2 linked regions of the Elephas maximus indicus genome follow. The protein of the gene in region 1 purifies or fractionates together with the protein of each later gene. This does not show direct contact. Links are inferred from orthologs where the notes say so. Each region holds a gene or a part of one and is shown on either strand. Other genes may lie near its edges.

Evidence for each region.
Region 2: the proteins of MICALL2 (region 1) and RAB8A purify together in Homo sapiens (co-immunoprecipitation; 3 studies listed by BioGRID and IntAct, with this or other methods). This does not show direct contact. The link is inferred for Elephas maximus indicus from reciprocal best matches to the Homo sapiens genes MICALL2 and RAB8A.

What each region holds. Positions count from the first base shown.
Region 1 is NC_064830.1:95,785,265-95,800,891, reverse strand, and holds the start of MICALL2 (MICAL-like protein 2), read left to right. Parts: upstream 1-8,356; 5' UTR 8,357-8,581; coding exon 8,582-8,724; intron 8,725-10,990; exon of another isoform or gene 10,991-11,707; intron 11,708-13,341; exon of another isoform or gene 13,342-13,542; intron 13,543-13,700; exon of another isoform or gene 13,701-13,961; coding exon of another isoform or gene 13,962-14,008; intron 14,009-15,627. UniProt on the Homo sapiens protein: Effector of small Rab GTPases which is involved in junctional complexes assembly through the regulation of cell adhesion molecules transport to the plasma membrane and actin cytoskeleton reorganization.
Region 2 is NC_064821.1:36,339,916-36,355,692, reverse strand, and holds the start of RAB8A (ras-related protein Rab-8A), read right to left. Parts: upstream 8,071-15,777; 5' UTR 8,037-8,070; coding exon 7,913-8,036; intron 2,227-7,912; coding exon 2,166-2,226; intron 1-2,165. Other genes in the region: TPM4 (tropomyosin alpha-4 chain), read right to left, coding at 14,086-14,168. UniProt on the Homo sapiens protein: The small GTPases Rab are key regulators of intracellular membrane trafficking, from the formation of transport vesicles to their fusion with membranes.

The sequences.
Region 1 (15,627 bases):
CACCACCCAGGGCTCCCCTCTGTGCTCGGTACACAGCCAGAGGCTTTGTGGGGTCTGAGGGGTGATGGGCAGACTCAGGTCCACCCTTCCAGCAGTGACAGTGCTCTGCACCCAGCCCTGCCTGCAAGTGCCCCATCGTCCAGGTTATTGCCCAGAGGTCACCGAAGGCTCAGGCCCCTGTGCTTCCCAGGTAGTGTTGTGGCTTGCTCCTGCTGGGGCTGGGTTACTGGAGCCACCAGGGGGTGCTGCAGCCAAAGAGAGGTGGGGCGAGAACGGAAGTTTCTTATTGGAACCTCCAGGGGGCACTGCAGCTAAAGAGGTGGGGTGAGGGCTGCAGTGAGGCCAGAAGGTTCTTAGAGATGGTCAAGCCCCCAGGATGTGGAACCAGAGAGCCAGGACATGCAGCAGGTCAGGAAAAGGGGGTGGGGGGGTCCAGATGCTACAGGGGTGCCCCATCCCCACTCGCCTGTCTACTCTATCCTCTCTGGAGTCTCCAAAGGCAGCACAGGCCCAGAGACCAGGCCAGGGGGGACCTGCGGCTGGGGAGCCATCACTAGATAGTCCCTCTGCACCCTCCTATACTCTGCCCCGGGGGGGGCACCTGTCTCCACCCAACCCCATGACAGAAGGAAGGGGACCTCCCGCCTCCACCTGTCCAATGAGGGGAGCCTCCTATCTCCACCCTGCCCCATGATGTGGGACACTGAGTGGTTGCCGGGAACTGCCGGGCTCGGAAAACCCCCGTTGTGCTGTGTCCCCTCACAGCACCATGGTGCCACCCCACCCAGGGCTGCATAACAGCCTTGGGACATCCCTAGGCCCTGAGTGCCACCGGGCTCTCAGCGTGGGAGTCAGGAAGGACACCATACAGTGGCAGGCCTACCCCACCCTGCCTTACTGTGTGGGCATCAGGTCAGCATGTTCTGGTGTGATAATGAGCTCCCCATCACTCTGCTCCACAGGGCCCTGCCCCTCGGCCCCTTGGGCGTTGGTTCTGGGAGAGGAGGAGCCAGGGAAGCCTGTGCCAAGGCTGGGCAGGGCCCAAGGGGTGTGCTTCCTTTACAGAGTGGTGGGGCAGGGGGAGGGCCTGCTATGGTAGTGGTGAGCACACTGGCTTCCTCACGGCCTCCTGACAAGGCGTGCAGCTTTAATTTCCAGATCCGAGAAGGGACACGCCCTAACTTGCAGATAGGCAGGACCGAAGGTGGCCAGGTGGCTGGGCTGAGAAGGGCAGCCTGGGTCCTGGGGTTCCTGCATTCACCAAATTCCACCCCAGGAGGCCAGGCCCATGGCGCAGTTTCACAGATGAAGACACACCCAGATGGTTGCTCCAGGTCCCAGGGGGCCGGGGCACTGGGTGGGCTCGGGGGTCCTGAGAGCCTAGAACAGCCTGGCCCAGGTATGTCCCAGGCCAGTGGGGGAGGAGGGTGAGGCTCCCTGGGACTGCTATACCTTTCCTTTCTGGGCAGGTGGCCCCCTGGGAAAGCCCTGGTGAGGTTCCCAGGCCCTCAGAGGGTACCTTCCCAGGGCCAGGCTGAACCCCAGGAGACCCAAAGCCTGGGTCCCATGAGGCCTACACCTGGGACATGAGAGGCGTCAGCTCTGCCTGGGGTGGATGGATCTTGAAGGATGAATAATAAGTTGTCCCGGAGCAGCCTTTGAACTCATCAACTTGCAGATGGGGGCTGGGGTGCAGCATCTGCCTGCTCGACCCTGCCATCCCATGGTGGGGCAATTCTGCAGCCCAGACCCCGCAGAGTTCCCTTTTGGTGCAGAGCTGGCCTGGAGGGGACCACAGGGCTCAGTGAGGTGCACAGGGCCCAGTACATGCAGGGGGTTGCCCAGTGGGCCATTTGGTTCTGGCCACTTAGGTGGGAGTGGGGTCCTGGGAGAGGCCATGCCCCACCTTAGAAGGTCCCCTGGCCTTGGGGAGAGAAGCTGGATGAGGGCGGGACTGGGGGTCCAGGCCCCCAACCATCTCAGAAAGAAGGGATAGCAGTCCCAGGGGTGTCAGTTCCCTGCTCACCTGGGACGTACCTGCTCGCTGACCCACCAGCTCTGCACACCTGGGTGGCAGCTATGTCAGCCTCCTGGGGACACTGAGGCTGAGTTGGAGCTGGGGGGCCTTCAGTGGCCCTCAGTCCTGCTTTGTGCCCCGTTAGCATTCAGCTGGAACCCCTAGAAGCCCACGCAGCAGATCCCCAGCCAGGAGGGCCTTAGGGATGACAGTGTGGTTGCAGGAGCCCAGTGGCCTGCTGGGGTCAGAGGTCACAGTGGGGTCCTTGCACCGAGTCTCCTGGCACCCACCGTGAATCTTCCCACCATGGATCCTCCCTCCCTTTATCTCTGACTGCACTCCCTCTGGACTTCACCCTTGCTCTCTTTAAGGGCTGGGTGCCCTTGTCTGACCCTCCACCTCCCCAGGTGGTTAGCACTGGGGTGCAGGCAGACCCACAGGCTCTGACACCAGCTTACCCACTTCCTGGCATGGGCCTTGGGCAAGTCACCTTGCCTCTCCAACCCTGAGTCTTTGCCTGTAAAGTGGGCATAGACGCCAGGCCCTCCAGGTAGCTGTGAGGGCTGTGTGCAAAGCCTCTGACAAATGGGCTCCTTCACTAGCTCTCTCTTTTGGAAGGGGGAACTGGTCCAGAGAGATGCTGGCCAGAGAGGGGATGCACAGCAGGCTAGGCCTCTTGCCCACTTGCCCCTGTTTACTGTTTGCCAGGGAGCGTGGAGGGGCTGGTCCCTGTTACCAGGGGTTCCTATAAACGGCATGAGGAGGATTAATAATGTATTTATCACACATCGTCGCAGGAGCCGAAAATGATGTATAAACGTGCGGTAAATGTTTTATAATGTTTTTGTAACCCGTTATAAATGATAAATGGCTGACTATGGATGCCGGATCAAATATTTATAACACATTGTGCGCGACACCGGGCTGCTACAGTTCAGGAAAGCCATTAATAATAAAGTGGGTGGGATGTCGAAGTTGCTGGCATGCCCAGCAACGCCATTTGTAATGAGGTGTAAGACCTGGCTCCGGGAAGCTACCCAACAGCCCCCCAACACATGGCCACCTTCTCCAGAGCCCAGGACAGGAGTGGGATCGGGAATTATTTGTGCAGTGGTATCCAGAGGAGAACGTATGCCATCTACCTACAGCCCACTGTTCCTATGCCCATGGTATTAACTGGGCCTAGTTAATTCGTGGGTGGCCCCTTAAAATGGGGTGGTTCAACTTCTAGGCTCCCCTTCCCACCTGGGGATGGGGGGTGGCTTCGCCTTCCCGGGCCACAGGATGGAGCGCTTTCTGACCATGGCCTGGGGAGTCTGGCAGGAGTGGTCTCTAGAGGAGTTCAGGCTGTGAAGCCCGTGACCCACCAGCATCCACTTGGTGGGCTCTGTTCTCTCCCTTCCCTGAGCTCACCTCCAGCACCTGGGGAGGCTATGTCAACCCTGCTCCCCTCCTCCCTTAAACACTTCCAAGACGAGGGACCCCGTGTTAAGACCGTGATGTGAAAGACTCAAGGGAGTTTCCTTCAACAAGACAATAGAGAGGACTCCCACCCATCTGACTCCAAACTCTGCCCTGCTGTTCAAGCCAGGGTTCCCAAAGTATGTTCTGTGGAACACCGCTTTGATGAGACTCTCCAGAAACGAGGGTTCTGCGGGCAGGCTAGTTTGGGAACCATAATAGTGTGGCGCCAGCTCTGTGAAGTCCCTCGGGAAACACTGCGCCGGGCGAGACACCCCTTAATTCTCTCCCTCTCCACTATCCCATGTCCTGGTTTCGCCTCACTGGCCTCCAGGGAGCTCCGGACATGGGACACCAGCTCAACCCATCGGCCCTGAACAGATCAGTGAATTGGGGCTGAATCGCCTGCTGAAGGGTTTACAGACCCCTCCTCCCAGCCCCTCTAAGGCACGGTGCCCAGTCCCCACTGCCACCCTCCTAGGTGCCGGACCACCAACATGGCCTCCGGGAGCTCAGCTGTCCTCCAAACTGGCTTTGGATTAAAACCAGTGACCTGTCCCTCCCTGGTCCCCCAGCACCACCCTTGCTCCCTGAGAGAGGGCCCCCTCCACCCACACTGAAAGGGTGGGGACATGGGCTGTTGTAGCATGAAGTGGGCCAACTGAGGCCAGGTGGCCTGGAGTCCTGCCCCAGATAGGGGCGGCCACTTGGCATGAGTCCACCCCAGCCGACCCTGCTCCTTGGCCCCCCAACCCCACCCCGGCTCAGGGCAGGGGCTCCTCAGTGCCCAGTCCTGCCTGGCTGACCAGGTAGTCCCCTCTCGTCTCTGAACCTCGGCTTCTTTATCTGCAGAATAGATAGAGTCACCCCAGTTTAAGGGGCAGTTGTGAGAAATGAGAAAGTGGGTGTGAAATTGTGGGAGAGGCAAGGAAGAGGGCCTGGCTGGGCCCTGCTTCCCTCCCTGACCTTTCCTCCGACTGCACCCTGCCCCCCACCCCAATTCTCTGGGATGCAGGTCCCACTCCACCAGCCTCAGTTCCTCGAGCGCTGTGGGTGCGTTTATCCCTGCTGCAGGGTCTTTGCTTGTGCCAGCCCCTCTGCTTGAGAAGGGCATTTTTCCCTCTGACCACTTAATTCTCACCCTCAGGTCTCAATCCTGGTATCCCCTCCCCAGGAAGCCATCTCTGGCTTGCAAGAATTGCCCCAAGACGGAGGTCCCTAATTACTGTCTCCTGGTTACTGGGTACCTATCACAGGTACTGTTTTATATTTGGGGGGTGTCTGTGTGTGTCATCTACATCAGCTGCTGGAACAGGCCCCACTGTCCCAGCAGCTGACTTTTTCATCAAGTATCTTGTGTTGAGACCTAACGAACATACAACAGGGATTTTCCTTTTCTTTTTTTCACTTTTTGTGGCTGAATTTTCAACAATTAAGTGTGTGCTGCTTTGATAACCAGAAAAATGATGACACTCCTCCCCCCCCCCGCCACCGAATCCTCTCTCTGGGTCTCCGGTTGGGGTCTGGAAACATCCTCAAGGGCCTGGGGGCTGGAACCCCCTCCCAGACCTGTCCTGCTCACACAGCAATCACCTGCCCCCCAGCCCTTTGGGTCCAAGTGTGATTGTGTGAAGTTGGATTTATTGAGTGCTCACTGTGTGTGTGCCTAGGAGTCCCTAGTTGGTGCAAACAGCTAAGTGCTTGGCTGCTAACTGAAAGGTTGGAGGTTCGAGTCTACCCAGAGGCACCTTAGAAAAAAGGCCTGGCACCCTACTTCCAAAAAATCAGCCATTGAAAACCCTATGGAGCACAGTTCTACTGTGACATGCATGGGATCACCATGAGTTGGAGTCAACTCCACGGCAGCTGGTTTGGTTTTTTAGTTTACTGTATGCCTGCCCTAGGGTGACTGTCAAGGGGGGGTATGACACCCTTGCCGGTGAGGAAACCAAGGCCGAGAAGGGAAGGTAGTTGAGTGGATGTACCTACATCTTCTTGACACCAGATTCCTCTCTAAAGTGGGGTCCCCATAGCTGTTTTGATCCCAGACTGCAGCAGTTGGAACAAGAAGCTGGCGAGTGTGGGTGCCGGGCACCCATCTGGGGAGAGGACAGGTGGGGATCAGGGTCTCACACGGAAACAAGTGTGGTTGATGCCCAGGTGGGCCCCACCCCTCAGCCACTGCTTGGAGCAACACCCACCACTCAGCAAACTCTCAGCAAGGTGGACAGACAGGGAGGAGGTGTCAAGTCTGTCCGGGTTGCTGGGGAGGCCCCCAGATGCAGTTCTCTGGGCAAGGGGTGAGGCCTGAATGGGAGCCTGGGGTGGATGGAGTAGTTGGGTGGGGATCCTGCGTGGCTTCAGTGGCTCCCAGGTGCCCCCTGGTGGTGTCTTGGAGGGTGAGGGGAAGTGGTACTGGGTGGGGCAGGTGGAAGGATTGGCCTGAGCAGAGGCTCTGAGGGGGTGGGGAGGGCAGGGTGGGGGTGGGGGGCTGCACCCGGCAGAGGGTGCGGGCAGAGAGAGGCCAGGGCTGGCAGGAACAATATGCAGGGGCCAGCTGGCCCACGAGGCCCTGGAGGCGTGATAAGGAGACTGGACTTTATTCAGAGGGCAGCCAAGGAGGTTATGAGCAGCGATGGGGTTTGGTCAGGTCTGCTTTCTAGAAAGATCTGAGGACTGTGGTGGCTGGAAGAGCAGGAGGGACCCTGGGGAGGCTGGAGCAGTGGTCAGGGGCAGGGTGACGGTGGTCTGGATGGAGGGCAGCAGTGGTGGGCAGGGGGGCATGGGGGTCTCCTGGTCCTGGCTAGAACTCCCAGACAGGAGAGGGAATCCCTAGGTGGTGCAAATGGGTAACACACTCGCTGCTAACCGGAAGTTTGGAGGTTCAACTCCACCCAGAGGTACCTCAGAAGAAAGGCCTGGTGATCTACTTCCAAAAAGGCAGCCACTGAAACCCCTGTGGAGCACAGTTTCACTCTGACACACACGAGGTCGGCAGGAGCTGGAGTTAACTTCAGGGCACTTGGTTACTGGTTAGAAAGGAGGGAAATGAGGGAAGGACAGAAATGTGTGGTAGGGACATCTTTGGTGGCCCCAGGGAACTGCCGGACACACTTGCTCCCAGGTCACTGTCACCAGAGGGGCCCTATGGTGAAATGGGGGGGACGAGTGGGTTTCAGGAGTAAAGCTCAGTGCTTATAAGTCAGAACTTAGTCATCTCCCACTGTGTTCCTTCAGAGGAGGGTCTCCAGCCCCTGCTCCCCTCTCCACCCCTGTGCCCCCAGCCTGACACCTTACCGCTCTTGCCCTTTCCCTCTCTTACACTGGCTTTTCTGGCTCTAATTGCTGACCTGGGGTTAAGAAAACCTGGTTCCCCCGCCAGCCTCTGGTGAGCTGGCACAAAATCGCCCTTTGTCCCCTACTGGGGACCCGCTGGCAAGTCCTGAGCCATGGCCAGCAGCCATCCTTGGTCATGGGGCTCTCTGTCTGGTACCTGCTTGCATACCCCCTGGAACGGGGAGCTCACCATTACACACAGGCCTGATCCATGCTATGGGGTGGTCAAAATGTCCACACTGAGGTCCCAGCCTCAGTCTTCTGCTCCTTCAAATGGGCAGAGAAGCTGGCCCTGTCTCCCTCCAGGGCCATTTGTGGGAAAACACCTTCCTGCTGCCTGCCAGTTGGGGCGGATCCCATTGGGTGCTGTTTGGACAAGCCCTGTGGTAGGGGTGGGGTTGGGGAAGGGGGGGCCCTTTTACCTCTCAGGTCTCAGTATTTCCGGCTTGGTCCAGCTCATGTGCCACAGACGAGTCCCACTGGAAGAATGGGGGTAGGAACTGCCCCCCCTAGATCACTTAGGGCCGTCCCAGAGTTACTTTTCCTAATTACTGGCAGCACAGATGACGAAAGCTGAAAATTGGAGAACAGAAAAAATTACTTGAATCCCTGGGAAATCCCCTGCCCTGGAACCAGCTGGAGTGGACAGGCCTCCAAGAGTGGAGACACGGTTTGGACCTTGGGCCCCACCCGGAATGACGCCCCCCCCTCCCCGCTAAACACAGGGTGGGCTCTGGCAGGAACAGACCAGGCCAGAAGGCCCTTTGAAGACTAAAATGCAAGCTGCGGTCCTGGCCGCCCCAGGAGCCTCCCCAGGCAGTCCAGCTGCCCAGGGCTGGCCTGGCTCAGCTCCACCATTTCTTAGCTATGTGACCCCAAGCAGGTCACGTGTATTTGAACCTCAGTTTCCCCATCTGTAAACTGGACTTCCCTTCCGCTTCTCCATGATGGCGGTGAGGTAAGGGATGCAGCATTGAAAAGAAAGAAAAGCAGGGAGCAGGGGCAGCCTGACTAGAATCCCCAAGGACTGAGCCCATTCCCTGCACCGCGCGGACCCCGGGCCCTGACTGGGACCGCGGGTGGCCCGGTGGGGGCGTGACCGGAGATGTGGGGGCGTGGCCAAATGGGCGTGGTTGATGGACTGGGGGCGAGGCCTGGCTGGTAGGCTGAGTCCACGATCTGGGAGCGACAGGTTCCCAGCCTGGGGCGTGACCCAGGCAGGCAGAGGCGGGAACCTGGTAGTGGGCGCGGCCTGAGCTCTTGGGGGCGTGACCGGCGGGCAGGTTGGGGTCCCGGGCAGGGCCGTAGCCAAGAGGGTAGAGGCGGGCCCTGGGCGTGGCCGGCTGGGAGGGGGAGGGGTCTAGGCGACGGGGGTGCGGTCTAGTGGGCAGGTTGGGTCCCGGGCCGCGGGGGGGCCTGGGCTGCGGGGTCGAGACTGGAGGGCAGTCTGTGTCGTGGGCGTGGCCCAGGGGGACAGGGGCGGTACCAAGGCGGGGCCGATCGGGGGCGGGGCCGGCGGGGCGGGGCCTGGCCCGTGTTCTGGGTCCGGCCGGGCGGCCGCTGATCCTCTTCCTCCTGCCAACTCTGTCCGAGCTCAGCCGCCGAGGTTAGCCGCGTCCTTCGGTTCGTCAGTCTGTGGGCCGGCCGGGTCCGCGCGCCGGGCGGGCCGAGCCGGGTGTCCCGTCCCGCGCGGTCCGGGGAAGCGGCGAGGGGAGTTTCTCAGCGCAGCCCGAGCCCGGTTCCGCCGGCCGGCGCGCCGCCGCCCGCATGGCCGCCATCAAGGCGCTGCAGCAGTGGTGCCGGCAGCAGTGCGAGGGCTACCGGGACGTGAACATCACCAACATGACCACCTCGTTCCGGGACGGCCTGGCCTTCTGCGCCATCCTGCATCGCCACCGGCCCGACCTCATGTGAGTGCCGGTCCCCTCTACCCCGCAGGGGCGCCCTTTGACCCAGCCAGCGGCCCGGCCCCACGACTTCTGCACAGGGCGGCGCTCTTGCCAACACAGATGGGGAAACTGAGGCCCATACTTGTTCCAGGCCCACGGAGTGGAAACAGTTCAGCCCTGCGGGCTGCCCCCTCTGTCTCAGTTTGTCCGTGGCCAGGTGGAGCTGAGGCCAGAGCTAGGAACTCTCCTCCCTCCCCCGCGGGCGTTAGTCAGCCTGTGACTCAGGCCAGTGTCCTGGGCTCTGGCCTCAGCCATCCCTTTCTCCCTGCCTCTTCCCTAAAAGGGCCACAGGGCTGCCCTCGAGGCCCCCAGAAACCTCTGATTGTTCCAGGGTCACTTGGAGCTTCAAAGGTGGGTACCCTGCCTCCCCGGTCCCTCCAGGCACCTTTGAGAATGCAGCTTTGGGTCACTGTGGAGCCTGATGCAGAGCAGGAAGCCCCCCCGGCCTCTGCACCTTCAGGTGGTGGTGAGGAGATGGTGGCTGGGCTCCCACCCTTGGGAGCCAGAGGAGGTGGGTGGGGAAGGGAGGCCAGGCTATCTTCCCCCAGGAGGGTCCTGCCTGACTCTGAACTGGCTCAGTCTGTTATTCACTCAACAAACACTCTGTGGATGAGTGCCTGGGACCTGGTGCCCTGCGGTGTTTGAATTCACAATGGTTTAGCAGCTGAGGCAATACGCCTGTGTTAGGTGTCTGGATGCTCAGGAAGGGGGATCCTCAGATGCCCACCCACAGCCCAGCCACCTTCTGGAAGAAAGATGACGTGACGTTTAAGAGCCCTCCCTAGAGAAATTTTGGCTGGATCCAGGGGTGGGGAGAGATGTGCACTGGGTGGGGAGGCCTCAGGCAGCCCCTTCCAGATGACCAGCCTCAGTCAGGCCCCTTGCTGTACAGATGGAGAAACTGCGGCCCAGCAAGGAGAACTCCTTGCTCAGGGCCCTTCCCCTGCACCCGGGGGCTGTCCTGGGGCACCACTCTCTACAAGGAAGCTAGTCTTGCAGAACGAGGCCTCTTGTCATTTCTCCTCCAGCCCTGGGCTCCTGCCCTGAGGTTGTGAAATGCTTTCCTGGGAAGTCTCCATGTGGCACTTGGGCAGTGGCCTCTGCTTTGCCTGGGAATCTGGCCTCTCCTGCCCTTGGAGAAAGAGAAGACGCTGTTGCAGAATGAGCTTCGCATCAAAAGCTCCACGCCAAGCTTTGATGCGGGGTGAGCCAGAGACATGGGGGTGAGGGAGAGGGACCTGGAGCACAGAGGCTGGTTGGTAACAAGCACCGCCTGGGGTTGGTGCAGGGTCCTGGGTGGGGCTGGCTGGTGACTGAGCCCCAGCAGACTCCTGGGGGAGGGTCAGTGTACCCTGAGATGTGGGGCCTTTCTGCCCCTGGAGGACTCCCATCTGGTCCCACTGTGCTGGGGGTCAGAACTCCAGGAGTATGTGTGTGGCTGCCCCAGCGTGGCAGCACACTGGGGGCATGCACATGGGCATGCACACATTGGACCAACTGTTAGGGAGGGCCTACTGTGTACCCCTACATGGGGTACTGAACAAGACCCTCTTGGCCCCGGCCCGTGGGGATGACATTCTAGCTGTAGATTCAGACAGTGGACAGGTGAATGGATAAAAACGTAAGGTGACTCCCGGCAGTGGTGAGGGCTAGGACAGGAGGGAGCTGTAGGAAGATGAGGCCAACTGCCCGCACGCAAATGGGTATGGGGGTGACTTATTCGTTGCAAACAGGATTGTCGAACATTCCCCCCAGAGGGGGAGATGATTGACAGATACCAGCATGTAGTTGGAGCACTATAGATAATGGGACATGGTTGGGGTGCAGTAGATATGCGGGGGCTTGGGGTGTCGGTGTGAGGTAGAGGTTCAGGGGTGTCAGTGTGAGGTAGAGGTTTGGGGCTATCGGTGTAAGGTAGGGGTTTGGGGTGTGGGTGTGAGGTAGCAGTTTGGGGGTCAGCGTGAGGTAGGGGTTTGGGGTGTCATGAGGCAGGGGGTCAGGGTGTTGGTGCGAGTTAGGGTCTTGGGGTGTCAGTGTGAAGTAGGGGCTGGGGGGTGTTGGTGTGAAGTAGGGGTTTGGGGTGTGGGTGTGAGGTAGCAGCTTGGGGCTCAGTGTGAGGTAGGAGCTCGGGGGTGCCAGTGTGAGGTAGGGGCTCAGAGGTGTTGTTGTGTGGTAGGGGTTTGGGGGTGTTGGCTGAGAGACTACCATGAGTGTGATCAGTGTGTGTGCATGTGTGGGGTGTGAACACATGTATATAAGCCTGAGCACCTTTGTGCCTGTATCTGTGCCTTGGTGCCCCCCCTACACACACACTCTACAGGGAAGCTTCCATTCTGGCCCCTGCATGCCTATGGGCAAGGTGGCGGCAAGGGTAGGGGTCCCTCCATGCATGTCTCCAAAGCCCCAGCCTCAAAGCCCCTGAGCTGCCCCACTGGCCCTAGCAGCTGCCAGGAGAGGTAGGGATCATCTGAGAAGGACAAGCACAGGGTGGCTGTCCTCTCAGAGGAACCCCCCCAAGGTCAGACTTTGGGTTCAACCTTGGGCTGGGTGAGATCCCCGTGCCCCCAACGCTCCCTCTCCTCCCCTCTCTTCCTTTTTCGAAAGGACCCTCTGGACATGAACATCCTGTCTCACTATCTCCTAGTTTTGCCACCAGGAAGTCCTTCCCATTGTCTAATATAAACCCTTCCTGCTGCATGCTAAGCCCATTTCCTCTTAGAGCCCAAGAGCAGCTGTGAAGAGGGCTCTGCTCAGGTGCCAGACCAGCCAGGTAGAGACTCTTGAGTTCCTCTATCACTTTCTCCCAGTTCCGAGCTCCTGCAATTGCTGGGGCTTAAAGATACGGCCCCATGCCAACTGGGAGACCTGGGAGTTCACCATCACCGTGTCCCTGCCCCGCAGCACACATGACCTGCATTGGTTAACCCCGCAAGGACCCTGTGAGGTGCGCATGGGCCTCCGTTTAGCTCACCCAGGGACACCCAGCAAGGAGGAGGAGCTAAGGGCTTGCCACTTACCCCCCAGCCCAACCCCTCCTCTAGCCACCTGCCCAGTGCCCACCTGGTCCCTGCCCCATCCCAGGTGCTGTAGGCTCTCTGCAGGAGGCCTGGAAGGTTCTGGATGGGCGGACCCTACCCACACTCCCCAGCAGGCACAATCTGCCCACAGGGCCCGCTCCACGATGACGCCAGCCGCTGCTGCCCGGCAGCTAGTTGAGCCTGGCACTACCTGAACAAACAGCCCCACCCTCTTTGCCTTCCTTGTAAACCAGTTGGGCTGAGCTGGCTCCCTGCAGTGTGGCCAGGCTGGCAGCCCTACCTGGGGTGCCGGGGTTCCCAGATGCCCCTCCAGCTCCTGGGGCAGCAGGGGAATGTGACAGGGGTGGGGAGTCTGGAATGGAGTGAGCGAGGGAGCAGGGGGTGCAGGGTCTGGGTGCTGGGCTGGGAAGAACCCCAGAGGAGCTTTGTGGGCTTCCTTCCCTGGAGATGTTTCAAGAAAGAGGGGTGAGTTGTGGGAGGGTACTGGGTGGGGTGTCAGGAAGCTGGGGTTCAGCTGCAAACATGCTGTGTGACTTGGGCCCCCTCCCCCAGGCACATGGAGGGGTGACCCGAACTCTCTCTGAGATCTTTCACAGCCCTGGAGGTCTGCAGAAGGCAGGGGTATCCCCCCAACTATGGCAGGGGCCCCCAAGACTCACCTGTTGTTTGAAGTCAGAGAAAGGCTCACACAGGAGTCCCTCCCACCATGCTCAGAGGCAGCTTTGTGTCCCTTCCAGGGCCAGAGCAGAGGGTGGGCCACTGAGCAGGCTGACCTCACCTCCCTTTCAGGCCTGGCGGTCAGCAGGAGTTGCCAGGGGACAGAGGCCTTCTGTTCTGGGCCCGAGGGCCAGCTGCCCAGACCCCTGCCTGTGCCTTCTAGCCAGAGCAGGCCAAGGAGGGGGAGGGGGCAGGCAGCCCTGGACTCGGGACAGTCCAGAACTGAGGGGGGCTTCCAGAGCTCGGTGCCCCCACCACCCTGACCAAAGCCCCAGGGCAGGACCCCATGGCAGGACCCCAAGGCTAGGCCCTGCTCTAGCTGGGAGGAGGCAGCTCTGGGTGGGAGCAGGCAGGGTCTGTTCCTACTGGAGGGGAGGGAGGGCACGGTATCGCCTCTGTCCATGGGGTGCAAGAAGGGGTCCCGGGAACCCAGCCCTGTCCCTTCCCAGATCCTTTCCTTCCTGCCCATGCCTAAGGCACCTCCTGTTGCCTGCTCCTCCCGTTGCCCCCGCACTGCTCCCTGGCCCCAGCCCCCCAGTGTTCTCCCCTGTTCCCCAGTGCTGCTGCCTCTCTCCCAGGTCTGCCCTCTGGGTCTGATTCCTGGAACTGCTTGTTCTTGGGTATCTCTAGATCTCATCTGTCTGGGTTGGTCTCTCTGGTGTGTCTCTGCTATTTGGTAACTCTTTGGTAACTGTGTCTGTTTTGTGTGTTTCTGTCTCCCTGTGTCTCTGTGTCTCTCTCTCTCCCTCTCTCTGTCTCTCTCTCCCTTCCTCTTGATCTCTGATTTGTTGTCTCTCCATCTCATTCTGTTTGTGTCTCTCAGCCTCTCTCCTAGTCTCTCTGTCTCTCAGTGTCTCTGTGTGTCTGTCTGCCTCTGCCTCCCTCCCTCTTCCCTCTCACTTCCCTTCCCAGTGGGATTAACTCCAGATGTGCCTGGAAGGAAGACTTTTCCTCCTTGCTGCCCATCCCCCAGCATCCATCCCTGGCGGGGCTGCCTCTGGTTCCAGGAAAGAAGCGTCATGTGGTCAGTGCTCCAGGAATTTAGGGGACGTCCATCCCCAAGTGCCCAGAGGCGCTGGGTCAGCAAACTGGGGCCTGTGGTCATGGGTCAGTTGTGCCCTGGTGGGAGGTGGCAGGGACGGTCACAGCAAACATTTGACCATTGACATGCATTGTTCTTAGCTGCGGTGGAGTTGGCCCCAACTCGTGGTGACCCTGCGCGCAACAGAATTAAATGCCGCCTGGTCCTGTGCCATCCCCGTGGTCAGTTCTGGAGGTGGGGTTCAGCACTGTTGTGATCCACAGGGTTTTCACTGGCTGATTTTCAGAAGTGGATCCCCAGGCCTTTCTTCCTAGTCCGTCTTAACCTGGAAGCTCTGCTGAAACCTGTTCAGCATCACAGCAACACACAAGCCTCCAGTGACAGATGGGTGGTGGCTGTGCATGGGTTGCACTGGCCGGGAATTGAACCCGGGTCTCCAGCACAGAAGGTGAGAATTCGACCCCTGGAGCACCGATGTTCCACCGCTGTCATAAAAACCCAGTCGCTGTGAAGTTGACCCCAACTCGTGATGATCTCATGTGTGTCAGAGTAGAACGGGGTTCTATAGGGTTTTCAGAAGCAGATTGCCAGGCCTTTCTTCTGAGGCGCCTCTGGGTGGACTCAAATCTCCAACTTTTCAGTTAGCAGCTGAGTGTGTTCACTGTGTGCACCACCCAGGGTCTCTGACTGACATATACCAAGAACACCAAAAAACCCACTGCTATCGAGTTGCTTCCGACTCATAGCAACCCTGTAGGAACAGAATAGAGCTGCCCCGTAAGGTTGCCGAGGAATGCCTGAGCATTTGATCTGCCGATCTTTTAGTTAGCAGCCGTAGCTCTTAACCACTGCACCACCAGAGTTTCTGACTGACAGAGACCCAGTGAATTCATTCATTCAGCCAGTGTTGAAAGAATAAACCAGTCCTGCAAAAGTTCCCTCTCTCAGCACACATCAGATGGACCAGTTCCTCTACCAGCGTTTATAGAGTGCCACCTGTGTGCCTGGCCCCATCTGTCATATGGTGGTGTCAGACCTCATACAACTTCAAGGGGGAGAGGGGAAAATCTAGGCCAGCCCAAGGCTGATTCCTAGGAGGTGGAGGTCAGACGTATCTCCACTCTCCAACGTTTTATTTATTTTATGAATTCTGACACCAGCCATCCTCCGCATGGCACTCCCTACTTCTTGCTGAGTTCAATAATGGATTGCACTGGCCACACGGAACTCACAGACCACACTCACGATTATGGGGTTTGTTAGGGAAGTAATAGGTTACAACCTGGGATCAGGATTGACTTGGAAGTAACGGGAACAACTCAGGAGACAGGATACAGTTCGCCAATCAGGACAGCTTCTAAATTCTCAGCTCCTTCTCCACCATTCCCGCTGGCAGGCAGGCCTCACTCTTGGCCTCTGCACTGTTCAGACAAGTTGTAGCTTTTTAGCTCTGATAACAAGTACCCGGAAGCATCTCACTCCTCCAGCAAGCCGCCTGCCTGAAGGTGCTCGGCACGCTCACTCTGTGAGTAGGTGAGCCCACTGCAGCTGTCTGCTGGTCCTGTGCAGTCTCCAGTGTTACAGCCTTTTGACTCCTGGATCTAGGAGGTTCTCAGCACAGGGACCCTGGGTCCAAAGGACACACCCTGCTCCCAGCTCCTCTGGCATTAGCTCTTTTTAAGCCTAGTGATGGCAAAACTGACCAATCCCCTTGGTGGGCCGCAGGTACCTTATTTGCATAACCCCACCTAATCATTTTGTAGGAGTTACAAGACCATGGCCTAAAAGGCCATATAAAAAGAGAAACCCATTGTCCTGTACCATTGTTGGTACCTTGGAGTGGTACCAGAATGGACCTGATATCAAATGATGAAGATTTCAACTCCCAAAGGCAGCCCTGGGTCCCAGCCCACCTGGGGTGGTAGGTGGCAGTGGCCCTCCACATCTCATTCTGGGTACCCACCGAGGGGCAGCTGCTCCCAGAGTAGGGCGAAGCTGGTGCCAAGAGGGGCACTTTTGTCGAGCAAGGCCCCCAGCACAGGCTACCATCTCTCCCAGGCCAGCCCA
Region 2 (15,777 bases), on another chromosome or scaffold:
TCTGGAGGGGAGATGAGAGAGCACAGGGGGACAGAAGCTGGGTGAATGGACATGGGGAATACAAGGTGGAGAGAAGGAGTGTGCTGTCTCATTGGAGAAAGAACTAGGAGAACACAGCAAGGTGTATATAAATTTTCGTATGAGAGACTGACTTCATTTGTAAACTGTCACTTAAAGCACAATTAAAAAAGGAAAAAAAAGATTAGCATAAGGTGTGTCTTGAATCAATCTCTTTTGAGATATAAAAGATATTAAATGCCAACTAGCAAGCAGAGATAGGGGAAGAAAGATGCCAGGCCACATGAAGATCACCCAGGAGCAGAAGCTCAGAAGAAACAAGGACCTTCCTCCAGAGCCAAGAGGGAAAGCCTTCCCCTAGAGCCAGCACTCTGAATTCAGACTCTGGCCTCCTAGACTGTGAGGGAATAAATTTGTTAAAGCCCTCCACTTGTGGTATTTCTGTTACAGCAGCACTGGATAACTAAGACAAGAAGGAAGTCAGGAGGGGAGGAAAGTGAAACTCTGTGGCTGCGATGGTGCGCCTTTGGACTTGGGCACAAAGGCTGCTGGGGAGCCAGCGTGTCAAGAAGTGGAGGAACATCCACAGCTGCTAACGCCCACACTGGCGAGCAGCCAACTGACTGCCCAGGGTGGGGGATGGACAAGGCATTAGACCTCTTCCAGATCTGGGATCTGAGGTCAGCTTCAAAAGTGAATGTTACCGGGAGTTGAGGTGACAGCTGAGACTTGTGGGCACGCCATTCCCAGTTCTGGCACCTGCCTGGCCTATAGGGACTGTGCCATACTCCCAGACATCACTTCTCCTTATCACACTGCTCATAGTGGGGCGCTGGGCAAGGTATATAGATGCAGGGCCTGACTCCCCTGTGATTGACCATGTGGAATCAGTCTGCACGGTGCAGCGGGTGGCGGACCAGAGCCAGTACCAGTAAAGGGAACTCTGAGACTCAGGTCTTGCCTCGTGTTATTAGGGCCCAGGAAGTCGTTCTCGAGCTCTGATGAATAGAAACAGGTCTTGGTACCAGGCCTAGCTTCAGCTTAATTTCAATTCCGGAATTTCAGGTCAGCCTGCTAGGAAGCGAGGCCTGGGCTTCCCCAGGAGAGAAAAGAGGATGTGATGTCAAACCTCCCTCAGCAAGCTGACGGGGCTAGGAGGGAACTCCTGGGCTGGGGCCTGTTATGGGTTGAATTCGGTCCCCACCTCCAAAATGTTTGTTAAACTCCTAACCCTGGTACATATTATTATGACCCTATTTGGGAGCCCCTGGGTGGTGCAAACGGTTAAGTGCTCAGCCGCAAACTGAAATGTTGGCAATTCAAGTCCACCCAGAGGTAGCCTGGAAGAAAGGCCTGGCAATCTACTTCTGAAAAATCAGCCACTGAAAACCTTAATGAAGCACAGTTATACTATGGCATACACGAGGTCACTGTGAGTAGGAGTCTACTCAAGGGAAACTGGTTTTAGAAATAGGGTTTTCTTTTGTTTTGTTAATGAGGTTATGCCAGCGTAGGGTATGTCCTAAAACTAATTACTTCTGTGTGGTGTCTTATAAGCAGAGCGGAATAGACACAAGACACACACAGGTGGAAGACAGATGCCATGTGAGGACCCATCTACAAGCCGAAGAATGGCAAGGAACACCAGGCAGCTACTAGAAGCTGAAGGAGATAAAGAAGGACCTTCCCCTAGAGCTAATGCCCTGAATTCAGACTTGTGTCCTCCAGAACTGAGAGGAAATAAATTCTTGTTCTTTAAAGCCACCCACTTGTGGTACTTCTGTTTTAGCAGCCCCAAGAAACTAAGAAAGGGTGCCTCCCTGCCCTGCAGGCTTCAGGAGCCCCTCTGCCTGGCATGGGGGACACAACCCCAGGTTCAAGGGGAATAGGTCAGCTCTGTGGCCATGGCCCACAGAAGAGCCAGGTTTTACCCAGGATGGAATGCTGAGCTAACCCGGATGGGACAGTCACGTCCTCAGAAGGTGCTGATCCAGAATCTAGAGCACAGCTCCCTGCACTGGGTATGAGACGTGAGGGGTGTCTGAAGATCAAGATCATAGCCACAGGGGCTGGAGCGGGGACACCAGGTGCATCTGGCTTGAAGTGCTTGCCAGACAAAGGGGCCAACAAAGAAACATGGATCTTACCATATCTGCAGTTTGATTCTCTTGCCATCAAGCTCTATGGTTCTGATTTTAAAGTCAATTCCTGAAAGAAAAGGAAAAAGGCACATCATTTTCAGCCATTTCCCAAGCTGTGTCAGAAAGGGTGCTGCTGATCTGGGCAGGTAACATCCCCCCTGGATTCCGGAGCACCTGCCATGGGAGGGGCACTGCTGACCTGGGCAGGTAACAGCCCCCCTGGATTTCAGAGGACCCTTATAGATGGTGGCACTACCAACCCAGGCAGATAACAGCATCCCTAGATTTCAGAGTACCCCCACAGAAGGGGGCATTGCTGGCCAGGGCAGGTAACAACCCCCCAGTGTGCCAACCACAGGAGAGACACTGCCAACCTGGGCAGGTAACAGCCCCTGGAGTGCCTGCCGCAGGTACCAGCTAGGCACTGAACTTATAGACCTAGGAATCCACGCAGGTCTGGAGGCATCTGGAGCTACCTGTTCCTCCACCGGAGGGGAACTCTAGGCTCACAGGGCCAAAAGCCATTGCCCAGAGTGAAGCCTGCAAGTGGCAGGGCTGGCAGCCAAATGCAGGTAGGCTCAATTCCAAAGCTTGGCTTTCTGCCCTCGCTGCTGCCCCTGTGCCTACCTCCCAGCCCGAGGCAGCCGTGCTTAGAGCGGGTTTCAGTAAGAGCCTAGCGTGTAAGCCCTGTGCAGCCCAGAGGTGCCGTCTCTCCACCTTGCCCTCTGAGGTGCTCAGGCCCTTCCTCTCAGCCTTTGCACGTGCTGCTCCTTCTGTGTGGGTGGTCCCACGCCCGTCAGCATGCACACATCTCCTCCTCCAAGGCCTTGGTCAGACCTCAGCTCTCAGGAAGCCTTCCTGGCTCAGCCCTCCTCTCATCCTGGGTACCAGGTTGGATTCCTTTTCACCAGTGTGGCCTCGGCAGCCTCCTAATGTCCCTCCTGTGTCCCTTCAGCTTGCTCCCTACTTCACGGTGAGACCTTCAAAACTATACCTCTAATCTCAGAACAAACCTAACCTCCACTCCAAACCTTCCAGTGCACCCATCACTGGATGGAGGAATAAACACAGTTTGGTTCCTCCACACAACAGGATATTATTTGGCCACAAAAAAGAATGAACCTTGAAAACACGACGCTCAGTGAAAGAAGTCAGACACAAAAGGCACACAGTGTCTGTTCCATTTACATGTAATGTCCAGAACAGGCAAATCCACAGAGCCAGAAAGCAGATTAGTGGTCGCCAGGGGCTGGGGGAGGAGAATGAGTGACTGCTAACATGCACAAGGTTCTCCTTTTGGGGTGATGAGAATGTTCTGGAACTAGACAGAGGTGGTGGCTGTACAACATGGTGAACAGACTAAAAGCCACTGAAGTGTGCACTTTAAAACGGTGACTTGTATGGTATGTGAATTATACCTCAATAAAACTGTTAAAGAAAAAAAAAAAAACCCCACACACAACAAATACCTCCTGACAGCTCCCCCCTTCCAGAATAAAACGCAAACTGTTGCCCTGTCTATGCTGGTGGTCCCTCTGCCCATGGTGCCTTGGCTCCCGCCCCCTGGCTCTTTCCTGAACATTCCAAACCTGCTCCTGCCTAGGGGCTTTTCCACTGGCTCTTCCTTCTCCTGGAATGTTCTTTCCTTCCACAGCTGCCTGGCTTCCCTCAACTCACTCAGGTTCCTGCTGGTCACTGCACTGGGGAGCCTTCCCTGACCAGCCTTGTTCTCTTATCCCTTACCCTGCTTTTAAAGTCCCTGGGCGGTACAAATGGTTTGTGCTCGACTGCTAACTGAAAGGTGGGTGGTTCGAACCCACTCAGTGGCACTGTGGAAGAAAGTCCTGGCAACCTGCTTCTGAAGGATCAGTCTTAAAAACCCTTTGGAGCAGTTCTACTCTGTAACACGTGGAATCATAAGTCAGAATCCACTTGATGGCAACTGGTAACCCTGCTTTTGTTCCGTGCAGCATTTGTAACTCCTTGACATCGTGTATTTGTCTGTTTCATGAACTTGGAGTGGACCTTACCAATCTCCATGGCTTGTGGTGCAGAAATGGTCAAGCCCAGCCACTGCCCACAGAGTGTCCTAACCTCCAGCCTGAGAAGCAAGGCCTTCCTTGACCCTCTAAACCCCACAACGGGGATGTAATTATGTCCTTGTCCTCCTCAGGGGCTGTCCTGGAGACCAAGAGGAAGATCAGCCTAACTGTCCTGACAGGAACATAACCTCTCTGAGGGCAGAGACTCAACATGTCCTCAGCACTGCTGTGTCTCCATGACTAAACCCAATGGCAGGGGCAGAAGAAGGTTCCTGGGTGGTGCAGATGGTTTGTGCTTGACTGCTAACATAAAGGTTGGTGGTTCAAACCCACCCAGTGGTGCTGCAGAAGAAAGGCCTGGTGATCTGCTTCTGTAATGATTATAGCCAAGAAAATCCTACAGGGCAGTTCTACTCTGAAACACATGGGGTCACCATGAATCGGAGCTGACTCGGTGACGTTATTTTTGGGGGGCTGGAGACGTGTTGGAAGCTGCCTGCCCAGTCCTGCATACACACATTGTGACTATAGCCTCATGACATTTCTGCCTCCCTCAATCAATTGCTTCTTCCCTGCAGCCCTGCACTGGGGCAGATGCCTGGTCCACAGTGGGCCTCTGTGAAAGGTGGCAGGATCAAAGAATGACAAGCAACAGGGTCTACGCGATGCTGTTCAGCATAGGACGCACTTTCTCATCAGCCATCCACCTAACAGGAGGAATGATCGGTCCCCAAGGAAGTGTTAGAGGCTGAGCCAGGCAGCTGAGAACTGGCTCCAGGAGCCACAGGGCCAAGTTCCCACCACAAACGATCAGTGGAGCGTATGGGAAGAGATAGGCTTTGGCAAAATGTCATCCAGGCAGAAAATGAACAGGCACTCAATCTCTGATCTACGAGGAAAACCCAGAGGAACAGGCGGTGCCAACACAGGATTGTCTTGGCATGAAGCTGTATTTCAGAGTTCAGCAGCCCAGAGCTGACTCTACCCCAAACCTTCCCCACCTCCTGATGCAGAGAGACAGGGGTCCACGAAAGAAAGCAGCCCTGCCTGATTGGTGGAGCTCTGAGACAACACTCTGCCCCACACTTCTGGGTATTACGAACACACCCCATTTGATTAGGAAGTGTAAACTTTATGAGGCCTAATGATTATGAGGCCATAACTTCAAGGTCGAGCTCAATTAAACTCTCCTAGAAGGTGACCTGGGTGGTGCAAATGGTTAAGTGCTTGACTACTAGCCACAAGGCTGACAGTTTGAGTTCACCCAAAGGCACCCTGGCAGACAGGCTTAGTGATCTACTTCTGAAAGGCTAAAACCAAAAAACCAAACCCAGTGCTGTCAAGTCAATTAAGACTCATAGCAACCCTATAGGATAGGGTAGAACTGCCCCACAGTTTCCAAGGAGTGCCTGGTGGATTCGAACTGACAACCCTTTGGTTAGCAGCCATTAACACTTAACCACTATGCCACCAGGGTTTCCTCTGAAAGGTTACAGCCTTGAAAACCCTACGGAGCAGTTTTACTCTGCACATAGAGGGTTGTCTTGTGTCAACTAACAACAACAAAAGAAGACAGAGGGCTGCAGCAGGCTACAAATGCAATGAACAGAAGACTGGGGCAGGAGGGAGGGGTCCTGGGTTCAACGCCCACTTCCAACTCCCTGTACGACCCTGGGCAAGTTTTCTCCTCTCTCTGGGCCTGGTCTCCTTGTCTGTAAATGGAGGAAGCCAGCCTCCTTGGAGCCCTCAAATGTTTGATTGGGTTTTCTGATCAAAAATTAAAAACCAAATAAAAAAATCTAATGCCGGAATCGAGCTCACCAGCGCTCAAGATTAGCACGATATGGGTTGAGATCAAGCCACAGTCTGCCAGGAGTTAAGGCCACTTCCTGGTTTGGAAGGGAGGCAAGGGCCATCCCAGGGTTTGAACTTGGGGTGGGGGAAGTGGGAGGATTCAGATACACCTGTGCCCCAGGGTGAGATGCTGTCCTTGCAGGAGCCATTCTGCTTCTGCTAGGCAGCCCCTGGCAGTGACAACAATCCCTTAGTCATCATATAATTCTGATCCTTGGCCACCAGGACACTGGCCAAGACGAGGGCACTACCCCTCATGAGAAGAAACAGCTGAGAGAAATCAAGTGGCTTATTCAAGGGCAAACAGCAATAGGACACCAGGTCTGATGGCTTCCAGTCTAATTCTCTCTACCTGACACCTGGTAGAATTCTCACCTTCCACGTGGGAGACCTGCGTTCAATTCTCAACCAATACACCTCGTGCACAGCCAGCACCCATCTGTCAGTGGAGGCTTGTGTGTGGCTATGGTGCTGAACAGGTTCCAGCAGAACTTCTAGACTAAGATAAACTAGGAAGAAAGACTTGGTGATCAACTTCTGAAAGTCAGCTGGTGAAAACCCTATGGATCCCAGTGGTCCAATCTGCAACCAATCATCAGAATGGTGCAGGGCGGGGCAGCATTTCATTCCCGCGTGTGTGAGGTCACTGTGGGTTGGGGCTCACTTGACAGCAGCTAACAGCAACAACCTCAGTTTAGTGACTGTCCCCCACATCCCCACTACCATGCAAAGCTACTTCACTTAATCTGTGCTATTCCCAGTAGAACTTTTTAATGTAAGCAATGAAATTTTTGTGGCACAAAGAGAAGCCAGCTTCACTTTGATGGATGTCAGAGCCAAGATGTAACAGGCCGGTTCTGTTCAACCACCACGTGGGCTGGCTCTGTGGAAAAGGCTGTTTCTCAAAGTGACAACTTGTGTCCTGGGCCTTGCAACAGGGCAGTTAGGGCTGTCTGTGGGAGCGGCTGATTTCAGTTTCTCATTGAGGCTTTTACCTGGCATAACCTTGGTGATGACAGGCTCCAGGGCAGCGGCTGTCACTAGCCATTGCTGTCACTCTTGAGGGATGGAAGGCAGGAAAGTAAAAGCTCCTGATTCCCTGTCATCATTCCTTCTAGAGGAAAACTTACCCAAGGAGGATACAGGGTCAGCCCCTGATCTCTCCAAGGTTAGGAACTGGACAGGTGCAGACTGGGGTCCTGTGCCTGTCCTGCAGGTGCATGCTGGCATCTATTTGGCATGGTTGGGCCTGAGTTTTGAAGTCAGACACTTGAGTCCAAATCTCACCCTCATCACGTACCGACTGTGTGACCTTGGGCAAGTCCTATTCTCTCCCTGAGCCTCAAACTCCTCATCCCAGCAGACGGGGCTCTCAACAGCACCTAACCCAGAGGACAGCAGAGAGGGTGATAACGTGCAAAAAGCGCTTGGCAAAGAGTAAATGGTCAATGAAGTCAGCTGACATGGTCCTTTCACTACAGTTAACTTCCTATGCCTCAGTTTCCATTTCTGTAAGATGGGGACCCCCAAAGAACGGCTTCGAGGGCTGCTGCAAGAACTGAACGCAATGACAGGCGCGAAGACCTCAGCCCAGGGCATACACTCCCCGACGAGCGGGCTGAAGATCGGGGCCTCAGTCTCCTCATCTGCAAAATGGGCACTTGGCTCCCCCCACTGCTCCCAGGGCCCGGGAATCCCCGACGGTGGTGGAGGTGGCTGGTCGTCGTCCCAAGGGCCCCCTCGAGCCTCTAAGAACCCCTAGGGCCGTCCGCCCTGATCTCTCCCTCAGTCCCGGCCCCTCAGGCGAGCGCCCGGCCCGAGCCTCCCGTGCCCCCGGCCGCCCTCCGGCCACGCTACCTATGGTGGAGATGAAGGTGGAGTTGAAGGCGTCCTCGGAGAAGCGGAACAGGACACAGGTCTTCCCCACCCCCGAGTCCCCGATCAGCAGCAGCTTGAACAGGTAATCGTAGGTCTTCGCCATATTACACTCTCTCCCCGACGGGAAGTGCGGCCAGCGCCTCGCCACTGGACGCTCGCCCCGTCCATCAGCGCCGAGCCCGCCCCCCATTGGCTGCCGGCCCACCGTACGTCACCGCGGCCGACGCCCGCACCCGCTCTCAGCCCTGCGCGCGGAGACCAGGGAAGGGGCGAACCGAGCACGGAGCCGGAAGCGGCACGAGCGTGCTGCCCATTGGCCTGTGCTCGGGTCAGAGCGGGCTGCGATTGGCTGGCGGTGCGGAGTTGAGGGGCTTCAAATGGGGAACGGGACGTGGGCGTGGCTCCCATGGTCCAGCTTCTTCCCGACTCTGGGGCGGCCCCGCCTCCCTCCCTTATGGGACAGGGAGGGCGGGAATCGTCGCCAACGGCCCCGCGCGCTGGCAGCCCGGGGGCGGGGGCCTGTGGCGCGTGCGTATGCGTGCTGGGAGACCATTAAGAGCCAGCAGAGGGCGCACGCGCGCAAGGGCGTCTGGTCCCGCCCCGACGGCCTGCGCAGCCTCAGCAGGCTTTGGGGCGAGCGCGGGAGGGAACGGTTCGGGGGGCGTCGTCGTCTCGGGAAAGCAGGGAAACAAGGGGCGTACGTCGCAGTCGGAAAGAGGCCCCTGGAGATCCCAGTGCTGGACGAGGAACCTACCTGAGGCTTCCCGGCCTCTGCCACCTCAGTGGCCTCACTGCCCCAAGCTGCGCCCTCAGGGCCCCTGAGGCTTCTCAGGACCAGCCCTCCGACCTAATTGACCTAATTAGAGGTTTCCTGGTGGTCTAGTGGTTAAGTGCTACGGCTGCTAACCAAAGGTCGGCAACCAGGCGCTCCTTGGAAACTCTACGGGGCAGTTCTACTCTGTCCTCTAGGATCGCTAAGAGTCGGAATCTACTCGACGGCAGTCGGTTTGGCTTGGTTTTTGGTCTGGCAACTCTGCCTCGAGGCCTCAGCCTAGACTCGGCCGCCTGTGCCCAGTCAGCTCTCAGAGCTGCACTTGGGGTGCGGGTGGGTGTGGGAGTGTCTCAAGACCCTCAAGGGCATGAAGGATAATTATAGGTAACATTTATGAGCAGTACTTCCGTGCCTAGCAGTGTTCTCAACGCTTTATGTATTTAACCGCCACACCAACCCATAAGGTAGGTATTGTTTATCCACGTTTTATGGTGAGGAAACTGAGGCCAGGGAGGTTAAGTGACTTTCCCAGGGTCCAAAGTGAGAAGTTGGTTTTTGAATGCAGACCTGTAAGACTCAGAGGCCAAACTTTTTTTTACTATTCGTTAAAATAATTTTATTGTGGTGAAAATATAGGTAACAAGACATACACCGTCTCAACAATTTCTACATGTATATCAGTGACATTTGATTATACTCTTTGAGTTGTACAATCATTCTCAATATCCTTTTTCAGGAGGCCAAGGGGGCAAATGGTTGGCAGTTCGAACCCACTCAGTGGTGCCTTTGAAGACAGGCCTGGCAATCTGCTTCCAAAAGGTCGTGGCCTTGAAAACTCTATGGAGCAGTTCTAACTCTGCACACATGCGATCACCATGAGTCGGAATTGACAGCAACCAGCAAGAAGCTCTTGGTCAATATGGTTTCCTGATTCTCAGAGATTGATGGTCCCAACTGCGTGCTTGGGCTCAGGGCCTCACATCACTTGCTGGAGCACACAGAGAAGCCTGGAGACTCGCCTGAGGATTTTCCAGAAGATGGCCCCAGCTTCTCCTACTCCCTTCCACCCCAGCTTATTCATCTGCTAATTAGTTCTGGTCAAGAAACACTTCAGCCAGAGCCATTGACCTTCACAGGCCTTACCCTCTGTGGTATTTTTATACTATTGACCACCTTCCCTCTGGAAATTCTCTTTCTTGACACCTCATTTCTCCTACCACCTACCTCCCTTTCTTGGGTACTGCGTCTCATTCCATTGCAGTCTTTTTTGGAGGTCTCTGCTTGTCCCTGAGCAGTGCAAATGGTGAACATGCTTGGCTGCAAACAAAGTTTAGAGGTTCCATTCCCCCGCTCCAAGGCATCTCAGAAGAAAAGCCTGGTGACCTAGTTCTAAAAAATCAACCATTGAAAACTGTCTGGAGCATAGTTCTATTCTGACACACGTGGAGTTGCCATGAGTCTGAGTTGACTCAATGGCAACTAGCAACTTCTTGTTCCTTAAGTGTCGGTGTTCCACATGGTTCTTTCTGTCCTAAGTCCTTTCTTCCAGTATCTCCACACTATTTCTCGGTTCTTTACCCATAGTCCAGTCATGCTTGCATGTCCGAGTGGGTTTGCCAAAGATAGTTTAAACTTAACATGTCCACAACTGAGCTCATCTTCCACTTAGGTGAGGGCAGTGGTGGTTCAGTGGTAGAATTCTCGCTACGTGGGAGACCCAAATTTGATGCCTGACCAATGCCCCTCAGGTGCAGCCACCACCCATCTGTCAGCGGAGGCTTGCATGTTGCTATGATGCTGAACAGGTTTCAGTGGAGCTTCCAGACTCAGATGGACTAGGAAGAAGTCCTGGTGATCTGCCTCCAAAAATCAGCCCATGAAAATCCTATGGATCACGATGGTCTGATCTGAAACGGATCATGGGGGGTGGCGTAGGACCAGGCGGTGTTTTATTCTGTTGTGCTTGGATCATTGACTTGATGGCAGACAACAACTTCCACTCAGACATGCGTGTCTTGAATTACCTTCTGTGAAACCTAAGTCTCTGACATCTTTCACCCCTTGCATCCTGGAGCTTCTAAATAGCTCTTGAATTTTGCTCTTCCATTTCCATTTGTTACAGTCAGGTCCTTATATTTCTCCACTGGTCTTCCTGCTCATTTTCTCTAATCCAGCCTCCACCCTGTAGAATGTTCACTTTAAAACACTTACCTTATTACATCCATCCCTTGCTTAAAATCCTTCAGAGAGCCCCCAGCAGCATAACACCCCAGTCTTTAACCTAGCGTACACCCCACATAATCTAGTCTTCACCTCACCCTGTGATTCACCGATACCTCATGGGGTTGGGAACTCCCCAAGAGCTGAGCTGAGACAGGTTAAAGAAGCGTGGATCGCTTAAGCCAAGTGCTGAGGCATGAGGATGACCAAAACAGTATCCTGAGATTACAGCCTAAGTGGGTGGCAAGAAGGGAGAAAACAGACACGTAAGGGGTAACTTCAGTCCTAACAATGGTAGCACACATAGAGAAGGGGGTTATACTTTATTCAGTGATATTCCCAGCAAACAAGAGCCTGTTGCCGTCGAGTAGATTCCAGTTTGTGGCAACACCATGAGTGAAACTGAGCTCCATGGCTTTTTTTTTGGTGGTCGTAACCTTTACAGAAGCGGATCACCAGGCCTTCTGTGGCGCTGCTGGGTGGGTTCAAATCACTAGCCTTTTGGTTAGCACCTGAGCACAAACCATCTATCTGTGCCACCCAGGCAACGGACAGTGTTAGATAAATGTCAAATTAATATGTTTTTAATTGTAGTTGTTAACAGAAACCTGTTTGCATATGCACTTAATTTTTTCGTCTTTCACTTCTCTTTTTGATCCCTCCTCCACCTGCCCTCCCCTGAAATAACCCGTTGTGGTTGAGTCAGTTCCTACTCATAGAAACCCTACAGGACAGACTAGAACATGGGGTTTCCAAGGCTGTAAATCTTTAAGGAAGCAGACAGGCTGGTGAGTTCGAACCGCTGATCTTCCAGTAAGCAGCTGAGTGCTTTAACCACTGCACTACCAGGGCTCCTTCCCCCAAAATAAAGGGACTGCAATTCAGGCAGTGAAACTGGAGTCATCTTGGACACTCCAAGTTCCGTCAGCTCACTCTTGAGGTTGCTTCCTTCAGATCGTCTCTTTCCTCCCGTTCCTTGGCAACCACTGTCCTTATCCTGGTCTTCTTGCCTCTAGTCTGCCACACCCTTCCCATTGTTGTTGGGTGTCATGAAGTCAATTCCGACTCATGTCATGGTGACAGAGTAGAACTGCCCCATAGGGTTTTCTTGGCTGTAATCTTTTATGGAAGCAGATTGCCAGGTTTTTTCCTCCTGCGGAGCAGCTGGTTGGATTCGGAGCAGCTGGTTGGATTCGAACCGCCAATCTTTTGTTTAGCAGCTGAGCTGTTTGCATCACTAAGGCTTCTTACCCCCCCTTAAAACCCAAAAAAGCCCCAAACCCGTTGCCTTCAAGAGTCGATTTTGACATCCTTTCTTAAAATGAATGCTAAATGGATTTTCCTAATGCAGTACTTAGTCTTCCGTGGCTCTGCACTCTAGACCAAATTAAGTTAAATCTAGGCTTTCATCAGTCTGGACCCAGCCTATCCAGCTTTCTTATTTCTGCAACACACAGAAGGTCTTAACCAAACAGGTCCTGTGCTTTCCTGACTCAGGTTACGTGGGCCATCTTCCCTGCTCCTATCACCATCTATTAAAATTCTACTCATTCTTGATAGCCTGGTTCAGGCAAGATTGGGGATAACTAAGAACAGGAGCTTTTGTGTTACTGAGACAAAGTGCTCTCATCTGTAATATGAAGAACATAATTGTTGAATCATGAAGTCATGATATAAAGCCAGTAAAATTTGCTAAGTTCTTGGCACAGTTACCTTCCCATCAATTGACCAAATATTGAGAAGCAAAGTTGCTGGTATGGGCCCACACATTCTAAAACTGACACAAGTTGTAGTTTATGTAAAAATTTATTTGACCAAAATGTAGAAAAAGAGATACTATTACATATGATACAGTTGCAAGAATCTAAATGAAAAGTGTGGGTTTTATTCAATTGCACAATTTGCTAGTGTGTCTCCTGGTAGTGTGATGCTTAATAAATAGGAGTGAAGGGGAGGGGTTGTGGATAAGCTAGAAGCAGGGTGATTTTGTCCAGAATTGTAAACTTGAGTTGGCCCCCACGCTGCTGGGGAATGTGGAATGTTTGAGCTCTGAGATGTTAACTGAGAAAGCAGAAATATAACAAAGCCAATATGTGCAGCCCTGTCTACAAAATACTCCATTATCCAGTTTAATCAGGAGTTTCTTGGTCTTTTATTAACTTGGTCCCGAAGAAGGAAATGAAGTCCTAAATCAGTAAATCTTCCATCTGCCATTCCCTGAAGTATGGAGGAGATGAAGTTGGGCCAATTATTTTTTCATCTCTACTTTGCTGCCATAGAGGCCCCTTCTGCCCAATGTTTGTTAATAGAAAAATCTCTTTGGTCTCTTTGGTCCAATTTATTGGTGGCTAGCAGTCTTCTGACATGGCAGCCTTGGGCAGGACTGAACACCATATCATTCCTGCTGAGTAGATGGCCTCATATCACAGCAGACAAGCATGGAATAAGACATCTTCTCAAAGGCCAACTTTAGAATGAAAGAAACATGTAGAAGAGCATAACATCAAGGATTGTCCAGCAAACATTTGCATTGTTACTATGACTATTTCCCAAGCATTCTCATGCTGACTACTCAGAGGATGTTTGCCCGGTGGAGTGTGGAAAAGGGCCAAGATGATTAGGCTAATCTGTCTGCGGTTTATGACTTCCCACTACAGTCCCTTTTTTTTTTTTTGGCTCTGGATGGAAAATCCCCACCCATATTAAGTGATGGTCCCTGGCCTCCTGTAGTGTGATCAGTGGTGGCCCAGAAGGCTTTATTCTTGAGCCTTTTAAATCAACTCATGACTAGATATTCGAGTCTGTGTTCTTGAAAGTGTGGGGTCGTCTATTCTCCCAGGAGCCAAATGCCCTCATCTGAAGAGAGTATTTTTTTTTTTTAGAGTATGCTCAATATAAAATACCCTGTCTATCTTAGAAGTAAATGCAACTTAAGGATAAAAATAGAGCTGAAAAAGCTGGTGCCATTTGAAAAAAGGGAAGGAATCAGATTGAACTGGTGCTCAAAGCTTCTCTGATACAAAATATTTGGTCATGTATTCCTAATTTGCTCAACATTTCCAGCAAAGAGAAGATGCAGTAACAAAAGAAACTTCTTAAAAGAGAAGAGAAAGATACGGAGCTCTGGAATTTCTGTTGGAACAAAACTCTTCTGTTTTGGTTATATACAGTTAAGTTCGTTTAGTGTCTGATCCAGTGTCTGATGTAAGCCCACGTTCTCTTCTTTGGCCTGGGCAAGTTTTTCTGGTGAGGATTAAGAGTGAAGAGAAAAAGAAATTAGTACCATTGTTAAACATCTTTGTTTCCTTTAACAAATTGTTAAGGGGTGGGGGGCGGGGGGAAGTGTCTAAACCGCAAACTGCCAGAGTGAAAGCCATACCAGAGGAAATACTTTGAATTTTAATTACAACAGCACACCATGGAATACTAGGCAGGGACCACGTACCAAAATTTGGGAGTAAGAAGCGTTGTCAGATAAAATACAGGGCACTTGGAAACCCTGGTGGCATAATGGTGAAGTGCTGTATGGCTGTAACCAAAAGGTCGGCAGTTCCAATCCACCAGGCGCTCCTTGGAAACTCTATGAGGCGGTTCTGCTCTGTCTTATAGGGTTGCTATGAGTCAGAACCAACTTGACAGTAACGGGTTTGGTTTTGGTTTTTCGGTTAAATTTGAATTTCAGATAAACAACAAATAATTTTTTAGTATGCCTCAAATGTTGCCTGAGACACACCAAAAATTACTTATCAACTATCTGAAATTCAAATTTTATTCGGTGTCCTAATTTTTTGTTTTAGTTTGCTAAATTTGGCAACTGTAGAGTCAACACCTGGATTTAAGCCTAACTTATCTAAGCTTTCTAGGTCTCAGTTTTCCCATCTGTCATGGGGTTATGGGGTTTATTATGAGGCACACATGGGAAATGTGGTGCTAGGAGGTGCTGCACAAACTTAGGATTTTAGTCCTAGATATGGGCGATTTAATATTCCCCTTGTTGTTGGGTGCCGTCGAGTCGATTCTGACTAATAGCGCCCCATGTGATAAGAGTAGAACTGCCCCATTGAGTTTCCTAGGCTGTATGCTTTATGGGAACAGATTGCCAGGTCTTTTCTCCCATGGGAGAACTGGTGGGTTAAGCTGAGTGCTTAACCACTGCACCACCAGGGCTCCTTAGATATTCCCCTAGTGCTAGTCAATTTATCCTCAAGCCTTTGATAGGAAAATACACTCCTATAACCCATCTTTCCTGTGGAGTTTCTGGGAACGGTTGGTTGAATTCCAGTCAAAATTGTGTTATCGTGTCTGTGTATGCAGCGCCTTGTAGTCAAACCCCACGTAAATGCAACGTGATAGAGACTTAAACTAGACTATGGCCAGTGGCTCTGCAGGAGAAAGGCCTGGCAAACTGCTTCTGTAAAGATTACAGCCAAGAAAACCCATGGAACGGTTCTATTCCGTCACACGGGGTCGCAATGAGTTGGAATCTACTCGACAGCAATGGATTTTTTTTTTTTTTTTTAAAGTGGGCATGTTATTAAGTGACCGAGCTGATGAAATAAAACACAAACAAAAGTAAAATGCCAACTAGCGCTACGCGTGACAGAGCACAAGAGAACTGGTTTGTAAATGAGTGACAAGGGACTGAGCCACGATTGATTAAAATACTGGAGGAAAGCAAAATGCCTCGTAAGATAGGAGATGATCAACCAGGAAATTTTCAGAAGGAAAAAAAAAAGTCAATGCAGAGAATGGCAGCCTTTCTACTGTGACTGCTGACCCTTTCACTTGACATGGCACTTAAAAAAAACCTAAGCGACCATGATCTGGAAGCAGTCCATCACAGGAAGAACAC